Linked DNA regions of Macaca mulatta. The protein of the gene in region 3 purifies or fractionates together with the protein of the main gene of each other region. This does not show direct contact. Links are inferred from orthologs where the notes say so. Each region holds a gene or a part of one and is shown on either strand. Other genes may lie near its edges.

What was found.
Region 1: the proteins of MMS19 (region 3) and PPAT purify together in Homo sapiens (affinity purification with mass spectrometry; 3 studies listed by BioGRID and IntAct, with this or other methods). This does not show direct contact. The link is inferred for Macaca mulatta from reciprocal best matches to the Homo sapiens genes MMS19 and PPAT.
Region 2: the proteins of MMS19 (region 3) and CIAO3 purify together in Homo sapiens (affinity purification with mass spectrometry; 3 studies listed by BioGRID and IntAct, with this or other methods). This does not show direct contact. The link is inferred for Macaca mulatta from reciprocal best matches to the Homo sapiens genes MMS19 and CIAO3.

The regions. Positions count from the first base shown.
Region 1 is NC_133410.1:77,082,012-77,085,657, forward strand, and holds part of PPAT (amidophosphoribosyltransferase), read left to right. Parts: intron 1-31; coding exon 32-159; intron 160-1,848; coding exon 1,849-2,070; intron 2,071-3,646. UniProt on the Homo sapiens protein: Catalyzes the formation of phosphoribosylamine from phosphoribosylpyrophosphate (PRPP) and glutamine.
Region 2 is NC_133425.1:1,950,362-1,954,007, reverse strand, and holds part of CIAO3 (cytosolic Fe-S cluster assembly factor NARFL), read left to right. Parts: coding exon 1-64; intron 65-855; coding exon 856-988; intron 989-2,342; coding exon 2,343-2,477; intron 2,478-2,864; coding exon 2,865-2,983; intron 2,984-3,646.
Region 3 is NC_133414.1:109,546,232-109,550,524, reverse strand, and holds the start of MMS19 (MMS19 nucleotide excision repair protein homolog), read left to right. Parts: upstream 1-1,459; 5' UTR 1,460-1,476; coding exon 1,477-1,588; intron 1,589-3,313; exon of another isoform or gene 3,314-3,376; intron 3,377-3,981; exon of another isoform or gene 3,982-4,293. Other genes in the region: UBTD1 (ubiquitin domain-containing protein 1), read right to left, coding at 575-644. UniProt on the Homo sapiens protein: Key component of the cytosolic iron-sulfur protein assembly (CIA) complex, a multiprotein complex that mediates the incorporation of iron-sulfur cluster into apoproteins specifically involved in DNA metabolism and genomic integrity.

The DNA of each region.
Region 1 (3,646 bases), on a different chromosome or scaffold from region 3:
AATACTCTCTCTCCTTTTCCAAACACACCAGACCAAATGGTTTATACAGTAAGATACCGTTGTGGCCAGCAGCTAGCGATTGAAGCACCTGTGGATGCAGATTTGGTCAGCACTGTTCCAGAATCTGCTACACCTGCTGCTCTTGCTTATGCAGGAAAGGTATTTTCTCTTAATTAACATGCAGTGAATTGCTCTCCTAGCTGTGGAATAAGAAATCCTTGCCTATAAAGAGAAACTCATCAACATTTCTAAGGAGAAAGGAAGGTTTGGTGGTTAATGTTGGTTTGTTTACAAGCGTTATTTATTTTCCAGGCTTTTTACCCAATGGCACTATTTTAGTGAAAACCACTAAAAGGTTCACTGAAAAGAAAAAACGTTCACTAAAGGGTTCAGAAATTTGCCCCCCTCTTTTTAAAAAGATAACATCATGAATATACAGTTGACCCTTGAACAATTTGGGGGTTAAAGGTGCCAGCCCTCTGCACAGTCAAATCTGTGTATACATTTTAATGCCCCCAAACTTAACTGATAACCTACTGTTGACTGGAAGCCTGATCAATAACATAAACAGTTGATTAACATATTTTGTGTATATATTATATACTGTATTCTTGCAATAACTTAAGCTAGAGAAAAGTAAATGCTTTGAAGAAAATCATAAGGAGGAGAAAATATATTTACTATTCCTTAAGTAAAAATGGATCTTCATAAAGGTCTTCATCCTCATTGTTGTCTTCACGTTGAGTAGGCTGAGGAGGGAAGAGGAAAAGAAGGGGCTGGTCTTGCTGTCTAAGGGTTGGCAGAGATGGAAGAAAATCCACCTATAAGTAGACTCATGCACTTCAAACCCATGCTGTTCATCAACTGTATATTGACTTCAGTGGAAAAATTTACTTAATATTAAAATAAACATCTTGAATCATCTTCGCAAGTCACTGGAATATTTGCTTGCTACTAAGTATGGGTAATAATAAAGCTGTTTATGTTCATTTAGCATAATGTTGTCAGTGTTATGCTTTATTTTCATAACCAGGTAGATTGTGTAACTATAGTAATCCTGGGGTATAACATCCAATATTCACTACCTTGGATACTTCATTAGCTTCTAAAATAATTAATATGCATACATTTTATAAAAGATTACCTTGATAAATGGGTTAATTACCTCCTATCCCTAAAAAGTATCTCATTAGTCTACTGGTTTTAATTTATTTAATTCATTTCTTTAAAAATTATTTTGGGCCGGGCGCGGTGGCTCAAGCCTGTAATCCCAGCGCTTTGGGAGGCCGAGGCGGGTGGATCACGAGGTCAGGAGATCGAGACCATCCTGGCTAACATGGTGAAACCCCGTCTCTACTAAAAATACAAAAAACTAGCCGGGCGTGGTGGCGGGCGCCTATAGTCCCAGCTACTCGGAGGCTGAGGCAGGAGAATGGCGTGAACCCGGGAGGCGGAGCTTGCAGTGAGCCGAGATCGCGGCCACTGCGCTCCAGCCTGGGCGACAGAGCAAGTCCGTCTCAAAAAAATAAAAATAAAAATTATCATTTTGAATAATGAATTTTTCTGACAGTGATTTAATCTTTGTCATGTCTTCATATGCTTAGTGTTATCTTTCAAAACAGGAATAATGTTTAAGACAAAAACATTATGAGTCCTCACAAAATGAATTGGTTTTTCCACCAAGTATATTTTGTTTAGTGGTTTTTCTTTTTGCCTTTTCTCCAAATAATAAAGGAAAATAATTTTGAAATTTCACTTGAATATTCTGGTGGCAACACAATCTAGAGAACTAATATTTGCCTGTTCTGTATATTGCTCCTCATTGTCCTTTCATTTCTTCTCTATCAGTGTGGACTTCCATATGTGGAGGTGCTGTGTAAAAACCGATATGTAGGGAGAACCTTCATTCAGCCAAACATGAGGTTAAGACAACTTGGTGTTGCAAAAAAATTTGGAGTATTGTCAGACAACTTTAAAGGCAAAAGAATTGTTCTTGTAGATGATTCAATTGTGAGAGGCAATACCATCTCACCTATAATAAAACTGCTCAAAGAATCTGGTGCAAAAGAGGTGAGTAATATTAAAACATATCCCAAAGCATCAGTTAACAATAAGATACTGGCATAAAATTGCAATTCAGGGTAGTGAATCAAAATGGATGTTCAATATAATAAATTAACTTTTTTATATCAGTTTGATTTAGGATTAACTGTGTAGCAACTTGGAGAACATGTAACAGCCACACTTTAAATGTAATCCTTAATAGATTAAAAAGCTCAATATAAAAGCTTAAGGCTGGGTGAGGTAGCTCATGCCTGTAATCCCAGGAGCCTGAGGCAGGAGGGTTGCTTGAGCCCAGGAGTTCGAGGACAGCCTGGGCAATATAGTGAGACCCTGTCTCTACAAAAATAAAAGATAATAGTAAAATTAAATTTAAAAAAATTAAATTAAATTTTAAAAAACCTAAAATTTTAACAAAAAGACTATACAAAATAGGCTGGACACAGCGACTTATGCCTATAATTCCAGCACTTTGGGAGGCTGAGGTGGGCAGATTGCTTGAGTCTAGTAGTTCAAGACCAGCCTGGGTGACATAGTGAAACTCGCCTCTCCTAAAATTACAAAAAATGGGTGGGGCGTGGTGGCACACACCTAAAATTCCAGCTACTTAGGAGGCTGAGGTGGGAGGATGGCTTGAGCCTGGGAGGTGGAGATTGCAGTGAGCCGAACCAATCTCAAAAAAAAAGTCTAAAAGCACAAAATAGAATGCTCTTTAAAATCAGTGGAGTAGTGATTGCTTTCTCTACTTGAAGACATGCAGCCAATTCCAGTGTAATACCTTTGACTTAATATTTTTTAAAATTTCTTTGTTAAAGACAGTGTCTGGCTCTGTTGCCTAGGCTGGAGTGCTATGGCACCATCTCAACTCACTGCAACCTCTGCTTCTGGGGCTCAAGCAATCCTCCCACCTTAGCCTTCTCAGTTTCTGGGACTATAGGCATGCGTCATTGCAGTCAGGCTAATTTTTGTATTTTTAGTAGAGACGGGGTTTCACCATGTTTCCCAGGCTGGTCTTGAGCTCCTGGGCTCAAGTAATCCACCTGCCTTGGCCTCCCAAGGTGTTAGGATTACAGGCATGAGCCACCGTGCCCAGCCAAGTTATTTTTTAATATCACTTTACGTCTTTTGTTTTTTCCTTGATACTGGGACTCAATGTGTCACCTGGTTGGAATGCAGTGGTTCGATCTCACCTCACTGCAACCTCTACCTCCTGGGCTCAAGCAGTCCTCCCACTTCAGCCTCCCAAATAGCTGGGACCATAGGCACACACCACCATGCCCGGCTAATTTTTTGTATTTTCAGTAGAGGCAGTGTTTCGCCATGTTGCCCATGCTGATCTCAAACTCCTGAGCTCAGGCCATCCGCCTGTCTCAGCCTCCCAAGGTGCTTGGATTACAGGTGTGAGCCACCACACCTGGCCTCACTTTATGTCTTGAAAAAATTTTTTTTTAATTTTTATTATTTAAATTGATAAATGTATATATTCATTGTGTACAACATGTTTTTATATAGATATACTAAGTTATTTTAAGATTTCAAAGCTTATTCTATTTCATAGCTCATACTACAGAAGTGAGATGCCATT
Region 2 (3,646 bases), on a different chromosome or scaffold from region 3:
AGAGACCGTGCTTATCACCCAGCAGAGCCACGAAGAGCTGAAGAAGGTTCTAGATGCTAACAAAGTAAGTGGTGGGCGGCCAGAGGACTCTGCTTTAACCTGAAATCCACCCCAGCAGCCGAGGCATTTTGCCAAGGGCAGCTTGTGTGGTGCCGCCTGCAGGTGGCACCTGCCTTTCTGAGGCTTGGGATCTCGGTGATTTACCTGTCAGTTGGTGCCAGTGGTGAACGTGTCAGGCCCGGAACTTCAGGTTCTAAATATACATCAAAATGACACCCTTGCCGGGCGCAGTGGCTTGCGCCTGTAATCCCAGCACTTTGGGAGGCTGAGGCGGGTGGATCACCTGAGGTCAGGAGTTCAACACCACCCTGGCCAACATGGCAAAACCCCGTCTCTACTAAAAATACAAGAATTAGCCAGGTACGGTGGTGCACACCTGTAATCCCAGCTACTCGGGAGGCTGAGGCCGGAGAATCACTGACAGAAGTTGCAGTGAGCCAAGATCATGCCATTGCACTCCAGCCTGGGTGACAGAGCGAGACTCCATCAAAAAAAAAATGATATCCTTGGCCAGGCACAGTGGTTCACACCTGTAATCCCACCTACCCAGGAGGCTAAGGCAGGAGAATCCCTTGAACCTGGGAGGCAGAGGTTGCCGTGAGCTCTGATCACAGCACTGCACTCCAGCCTGGGCAATAGAGCAAGACTCTGTGTGGGGGAAAAAAAAAAAAAAGACACTCTTGATAGAGCTGGCATGCCCTCTCCACAGCCGACGGCATCTCACCGGGCAGCTCTGGGCACCAGGAATCAGCATAAGGCCGGCAGAGTAAGCAGCGTCTTCCCCTTGCTTTGCAGATGGCGGCGCCCAGTCAGCAGAGGCTGGTTGTAGTCTCAGTCTCGCCACAGTCTAGAGCATCGCTGGCTGCACGGTTTCAGCTGAATCCTACAGACACTGCCAGGAAATTAACCTCATTCTTTAAAAAAATAGGTAGGCTTTGAACCTGGGGTAACACTGCCACTCCACACCAAGGGGGCGTCTGAGTGAGCCCAGGCTCCTCGTGCCTCTGAGTCACTGACATGCCACCCAGCCCTGAACTTCAGTGCTACAGAAACTTTATTCCCTCTGTGACCTCAGCCTGAAGTTTTGATTTGACATTTGAGAGCAGTGCCTTCTCACAGAAATCGTCTGCATTCTGACTGTGCACTTTCTGTGAGTTGGGGCTGACCAACTCCTTGTACTTTTTAGCTGATGATATTAAGGCACTCTCTCCGGGGCTCCGCTGGGTTCAGCTAAGGCCAGCTTCGGCGGACTTCGGTTGTGTGCCTGGAGCTGGGCTTGGGTGTCTTGAGAGGCCCCAGCTAACCAGGCTCCTATGCCCGGTGGCTCACTGGGAATGAAGGGGCTGGACCTCATGGCTGCTGTGTGCCTTTCATGGGTAACCGCCACGTCCAGTCCCTTCGTTCCCAGTGAGGCAGGACTGTGTGCTTTGTACCCGGCAGACTGCCTGTCATCCAACTGTGTCCCGGGTCCCTCACATTGGAAACCTGTTGACACTGGCAGGTGCCCCGTGGCTCTTGTCTGACCCACACCCACGTCCAGTTGGTGTCTGAGCAGTGCTCTGGCACTGGGAGCCTGACCTGGTGTCTCAGGGGAAACCTGGCCTGGGGCAGCCCGTGGTTCTCCAGGTGGAAGGTGTGGGTTTCGTCCCCACGGGAATAGGAAGCAAGTTCAAAGATTTTTACTTACAGATCACGGGCAGGTGGGGCACAGTGAGTCCGAAGGCCGTCTTCCGACCATGGGTTACACGAGGCAGGAATGACAGGTCAGGCAGAGACAGAGGGACCCACGTGCTGGTGCCTCTGCTGGTGTCCAGGGCACGATCAGGCAGGTTTACCAAGCAGTTCTAATTGCTGGGCTTGGAGCCGGCGGGCCTGTCCCAGGAGTCCTGCCGTGTGTGAGGGGCGGCCACTGTGGCAGGTCTGCACACTCAGGGTCCGAGGGGCCAGTCCAGCAGGCCACGTCCAGCTGTGCCCTAGGGAGGGTCACCGGGAGCAGTGCACGTGGCAGTTCCCTGGACCAGCCTTGCTAAGGAGCTGGGAGGGTGGAGGACTGAGCTGCCGAGCGGCTGCCCTGCCTCTGGGGTGGGAAAGCAAGCCCTGCATTCGCAGGGGATGCCGAGGCAACGCGGCTTAAGGAGGTCCCCACGGTGGGGCCGGGGCTTTGGCACGGGAAGCGGGTGCCACACACGTCCCCCAGCAGCACCACGGTGGTCCACACACAGGCGTGTACTCGCGTGGGCGTCCCGCGCGGGGCTAGCCAGGCACCCACCTTCACCTTCCAGGGGTGCACTTTGTCTTTGACACCGCCTTCTCAAGGCACTTCAGCCTCCTGGAGAGCCAGAGAGAGTTTGTGCGGCGATTCCGAGGACAGGCCGACTGCAGACAGGCCCTGCCCCTGCTGGCCTCCGCCTGCCCAGGTGTGCTCATGGTGCGGGCGGTGTGAGAGTCAAGTTCGAGTTAAGTTAAAATGTGACATGATATGGACACGGATGACAAAGCGGGGGATAGGGGGTGGAGACGCAAGCCGGTTTCGCAGGACGGGTTAGAAATGTTGGCACAAATGGCCTTTTGTGGAGAAGGGGCTGCCCTCCCTTGGGAGCCACCCACAGTCACCTCAGGTCCCTAGGCGGTGTTGCGTGCACGCCGAGCTCCACGTGGTGGTGGGAAGAACAGGAACGAGCACTCTTTAATGTCATCATGATCTCCCATATGAGCGGACCCGCCTCCAGAATGTCGTGCTGCTGCCTGTGGGTGCGGGGGCCGCCGTGCGCCCCCGCCAGCCCCGTGTGCCCCTGTCGCCTCAGGCTGGATCTGCTATGCCGAGAAGACGCACGGCAGCTTCATCCTCCCCTACATCAGCACCGCCCGGTCCCCGCAGCAGGTCATGGGCTCCCTGGTCAAGGACTTCTTCGCCCAGCAGCAGGTAACGGCGTTGGGCCGCCCCAGGCTCAGGCTGGGGAGCGGCCAGACGTGATTATTCTGGCTGTTTGCCGCGAAGCCGCAGGAAACAGTCCTCGCCTTGGTGTGTGGCCTTCCCGAGCACACCTCCACCCTTGTTCCCTCCTAGTTCAGGCCACTCCTCTCCTGCTGGGCAGCACAGGGCCACGTTCCGATCCACAGCTGCTCACTGCTCACACAGAAACAGCCAGGCCTGGGGCTGAGGGAGCAGGAGGCCCTCGGGCAGCCCCGGCCACCAGATCCACAGGGTGCCCAGCACGACCCCCACCTGAGGCCCCGCGGGATTGAAGCCTGACGACACTCAGCCAGTGGGGGGCGGGACTGAAGCCTGACGACACTCAGCCATTGAGGGTGGCCCTGGTGGTGCCTGGGCCCGGAGTGCCCATGTCCCCTACAGCACCTCCCGCCCGAAAACACGGATTTTCACCTGGGGCTGGGGCTGGTTGGTTCCCCTGTGACATCCCTTTCCCCGGCTGGTGTGCAGCGAGAGGGCCTGAGCTGTGGGAAGGCCACTTCTCCTCCTCCTTTGGACTTGGCTGTTAGGGAGTGCAGGCACACTGGGAACGGGTCAGTGTCGTTTTCTGTCGCAGCCAGGGCCTGTCCTATCCAGGGGCACATCCGCAGAGCC
Region 3 (4,293 bases):
CCCCGCACCCCATCTTTTATAGACTCCCAGACGACCGAGAGGCTCTAAAAACCCCTGCGGGAAAAATAAAGATTTCTTTCCCAGAGTCCTGCGCTGCTTTGCAAGTCGGATTCCGGCAGACACGATCTGCAGCCCGATAATGACACAGTCTTTGGAAGGAGCGACTGTTCTCGCCCCGCTCGCTCCAAGTTCTGGGGACGCCTGGCTGCCCGCGCCGTGCCCCGACGGGCCGGTGTCCGACCCCGGCCGGAGCTGCCAGGCCAGCGGCGCCCTCGCCCCGGGCCCTCCCCCCAATCCGTCGGCCCCGCTGCGGTCTGCAAACATTTCCTGCCCCCACCCCCACCAGGAGCTTCCCAGTTGGAGAGAGTTGGTCGCGCAGCCGGCTCAGTGCTCGCAGTTGCCCCAACTCAGCTCGCCCGGCGCTGGGGAGCGGCCCCGTCTGGTTGCGGAGCAGGCTATCGGGGAAACCCAAGCGCCAGCACCAGTGGGGAGTCTATCGGTAAGCCTAGAGCTCGGGCGAGGAGGGGGACAACTGGCGGGGTGCCCGAGGCCCTGCTCCCTTCCCCGTCGTTACCTGCTCGCTTGCGGGGGTGTCCCGGGGCTGCCGGCCTCTCCCGCCGCTGTCTCCCCACGCAGTTGCCCATGCTGGCTCCTCAGCCAGTCCCCATGCACCGGAGGCGGCGAGGTGGTCGGCTGCTCCGCGCTCCTGCCCCGGACGGCGGCGTCCCGGGTCAACGGCTCCGGCCGCCCGGCATCTGGCGCTCCCCGATCTCCCCCCGGGGGCGCGCTCAGCCCCGGCGCTGGCTCCGCCAAAACTTTGCGGGCCAGGGGAGAGAGGGAGGTGGCAGACTCCCTAGCACAGTCCCAGGTGGCCGGGCCAGGGGGGCCCGCGACGGTGCCCGGCCGGAGACCAGCTCCGCTGGAGGGGCGGAGAGAGGGGGCGGGCACCGCCGCAGCTACTCCCGGTCGCTCGGGGCTCCAGGCAGGGGCCGGCCCCCTGGAGCCTGTCACTCACCTGCCTAACCCCGCCCCAGGCCGGCCCCGCTCCCCACCGCCGGCTCGCGGTGCCCGCGCCGCCGCCACCACCCGCCCCAGGTGCGCATGTGACCGACAGCACCGCCCCCTCGGGCTGGGCCTGATTTTCTCATTGGCTTCCCCCGTGGTGCGTACCGCCCCTCTCCCCACCCAGCCAGGTGCCCGCCCCGCCGCCCGTCTCCCGGGGAGCCGGGCCGGGAATTATTCGCCCTCAATGGCCTCCGGCTGCGTGCCCAGCAGCCGCCTTCCCTCTCGGTGCCGCCGCCCCATTCCAGGCCCCGCCCCTCCCTGGAACTGCCTGGCTAGAAGCCGGTAGGCACGTGACCCGGTGCGCCCCGCCCCCTTGGCCTTCTCCCCGCGATTGCCTCGGGAGGCGCATGCGCGGAGAGGCCCGTCTCTTGCCACCGCCCATATCCCCTCCCACGGTCTCTTGTTCGCGTCATGGCCGCCGCCGCGGCTCTGGAGGCGGCGGCGCCTACGGGCGCCCTATGGGGCCTCGTGCACGACTTCGTCATGGGTCAACAAGAGGGCCCCGCTGACCAGGTGGCTGCAGGTACGGCAGACGGCGCCGCGCGCCTTCCGCATGGGGGCCAACAGGAGGGAGCGGCCTCGGTACAGGCGCCGGGCGGGAAAGGAGGAGCGGGTGACTTTGAGAGATTGGTCTCAAGGCTGGTTAGTGAGCACCGCGAGCTTCAGAGCCGTAACAAGTTGGAGAGTTGCCTGTGTCTTCCTTAAAACCATTTACACTTTTCATCTCCCTATAGCCAATTATAGGGAATTATTACATTTTACAGATGAGGAAACTGAGGCTCAGCGAGGGCAAGAGGACTTGCGCAGGGCTGCAGACAAGGCAGGAGGGGGAGCTGGGACTCGGACCCAGGCGTTCACGTCCGAACCGGGTGCTCAAGCCACGAAGCCACGCTGTTTGTGGGAGGTTGACGTGTGGAGGTGCATCCTCGCAGCGTCCGCTCCCGTCGCGTGGCATCCTGGGAGTGGCGGATGGCCCCGCGCTCTGACTGGCTGGAATTAAGAGGAGGCGAGGAGTCGGGCCAGGAGGAGCTGGAGATGTTCTGGGTGTCCTCCTTAAGACTTTCTCTCCGTTTCTTGCCAAAGTTCTTGATTAGTTTGCTCCATGACGTTTTATGTGGCGTTTGTTTTTATCTTCTTCCCAGACCCCCACTTGCCTGCTTTTGACAAGTTCAGAGATCTCTTAGTTCAGACAGCTTATCTAAAATTAGAATAAAACAATTTCCAGGCTTCCGTGGAGTTCTGAGACTTTGCTCTTCTAGGAAAAAAAAGTCTACTAAAAAGTTATTGAATGTTAGGAAGGCTTCAGATCTTGGGTTTAAGTAACAATATAAAATTGTCTAATGGGTAGTTTAAAAAATTTTGGAAATTTCGCATGCTTGGAGAGAAGTAAGGACACATTTCTCTTGCAAACTGAGCGTATTAACCTTTAGAATGTGTAAGAAAAGAATAGTGAATCTGCTGGAAATAAAATACTTTGTTCGTTAGCAGTATTCCACTTTGATTCAGTCATGCCACTATTGTTGAACACATATTATTTCCCAAACATGATGCAAAGCCTAAGGAATATAAATACAAATTAGGTTAGATCTGTGCCCACCGGAAACTTATAGTATGCTGGGAGAGGCAACTATTCTATAAGAGGGATGTGCAGGGTAATTTGGAAGCATCAAGGAGCAAATACCTGGTGCTGCCACCAAACAACATCTTACAATTTTATGAAATGTAGTGTGTTACCAGTGTTTACAATTTACAAGTACAGTGTCTTAATAATGTCGTTTTCCCTCATGTTTTATTATGAAAATTTTCAAATATCCAGCCAAGTATAAAGAATTTTATAAGGAATACATCACTTAGGATCTATCCTACCATTAACATTTTAATATTACTTGCTTTATCATACAGCTATCCATCTATTTAAATTGCAGATACCTGTACACTTTCCTTTAAATACTTTGGCATGGATATCATTGACTAGAGTTTGTTGACGGTTTATTTTGGTGTAAAATGTATATTCAATGAAATATATAAATCTTTAAGTGTACATTCCCTGATTTTGACTAATGCGTATACCTATACAATCCATCCCCCTACCAAGATACAGAACATTACTATATCAGTGTCATTTGTGATGAGTCTTTCACATTTATGCAATATGAAAACAATAATTACTGATTTTTTGGATTCAGAACATATTTTGAAAAAATATCTTGAATGTCTTATCTTGAATAAGGACTTCTAAATTCTTCTCTTTTTTTTTTTTTTTTTTTTTTGAGACAAGGTCCCGCTCTGTCTGCCAGGCTGGAGTGCAGTGGTGAAATCATGGCTCACTGTAGCCTCGACCTATGCTCAAGCAATCCTCCTGCCTCAGCCTCCCGGAGTAGCTGGGACAACAGGGCTTGTGCCACTGCGCTCGGCTAATTTTTGTATTGTAGTGACAAGGTTTCACCATGTTGCATAGCTTGGTCTCTAACTCCAGGACTGAAGCCATCCTCCCATCTCAGCCTCCCGAAGTGCTGGAATCACAGGCATGAGCCACTGGGACTGCTTAATTCTTACAAATGTTTTTGCAAAATTTATATTTTTGTTTCTTTCCGAAAAAAATGGTCTAAACTGTTTAGTTTGAATTCAGCTCAGCTGATCTAAGACTGTAACACTAACCCTGTTGTAATTTAGCCCTCTTAAGAAAGTTGGTGCTGGGCACGGTGGCTCATGCCTGTAATGCCAACACTTCGAGAGGCCAAAGTAGGCAGATCGCTTGAGCCCAGGAGTTTGAGACCAGCCTGGCCAACATGGTGAAACCCCGTCTCTACCGAAAATGCAAAAATTAGCCAGGCGTGGTGGTGCATGCCTGTAATCCCAGCTACTCAGGAGGCTGAGGCTGGAGAATCGCTTGAGCCTGGGAGGTGGAGGCTGCAGTGAGCAGAAATCACGCCCCTGTACTCCAGCCTGGGCGACAGAGCAAGACTTCCGTCTCAAAAAAAGAAAAGAAAAGAAAGTTGATACAGAGGAACAGTAACAGATAAAAGTTGAAAAGGTTTGGTGGGGTTGGATTCTGCATAACTTTGGATTCCAGGCAGAGGGATTTGAATGACCTATTACATGTGCTAAGAGTTGTTGTAGATCCTTAAGCAAGGGAGCCATAAAATGAAAACGAATTTGACAAGGATTAAGTTAATATTGTCAGTCTTAGATCACAGCCCTAGTTAGGGTTGTTGAAGGATAACAGAG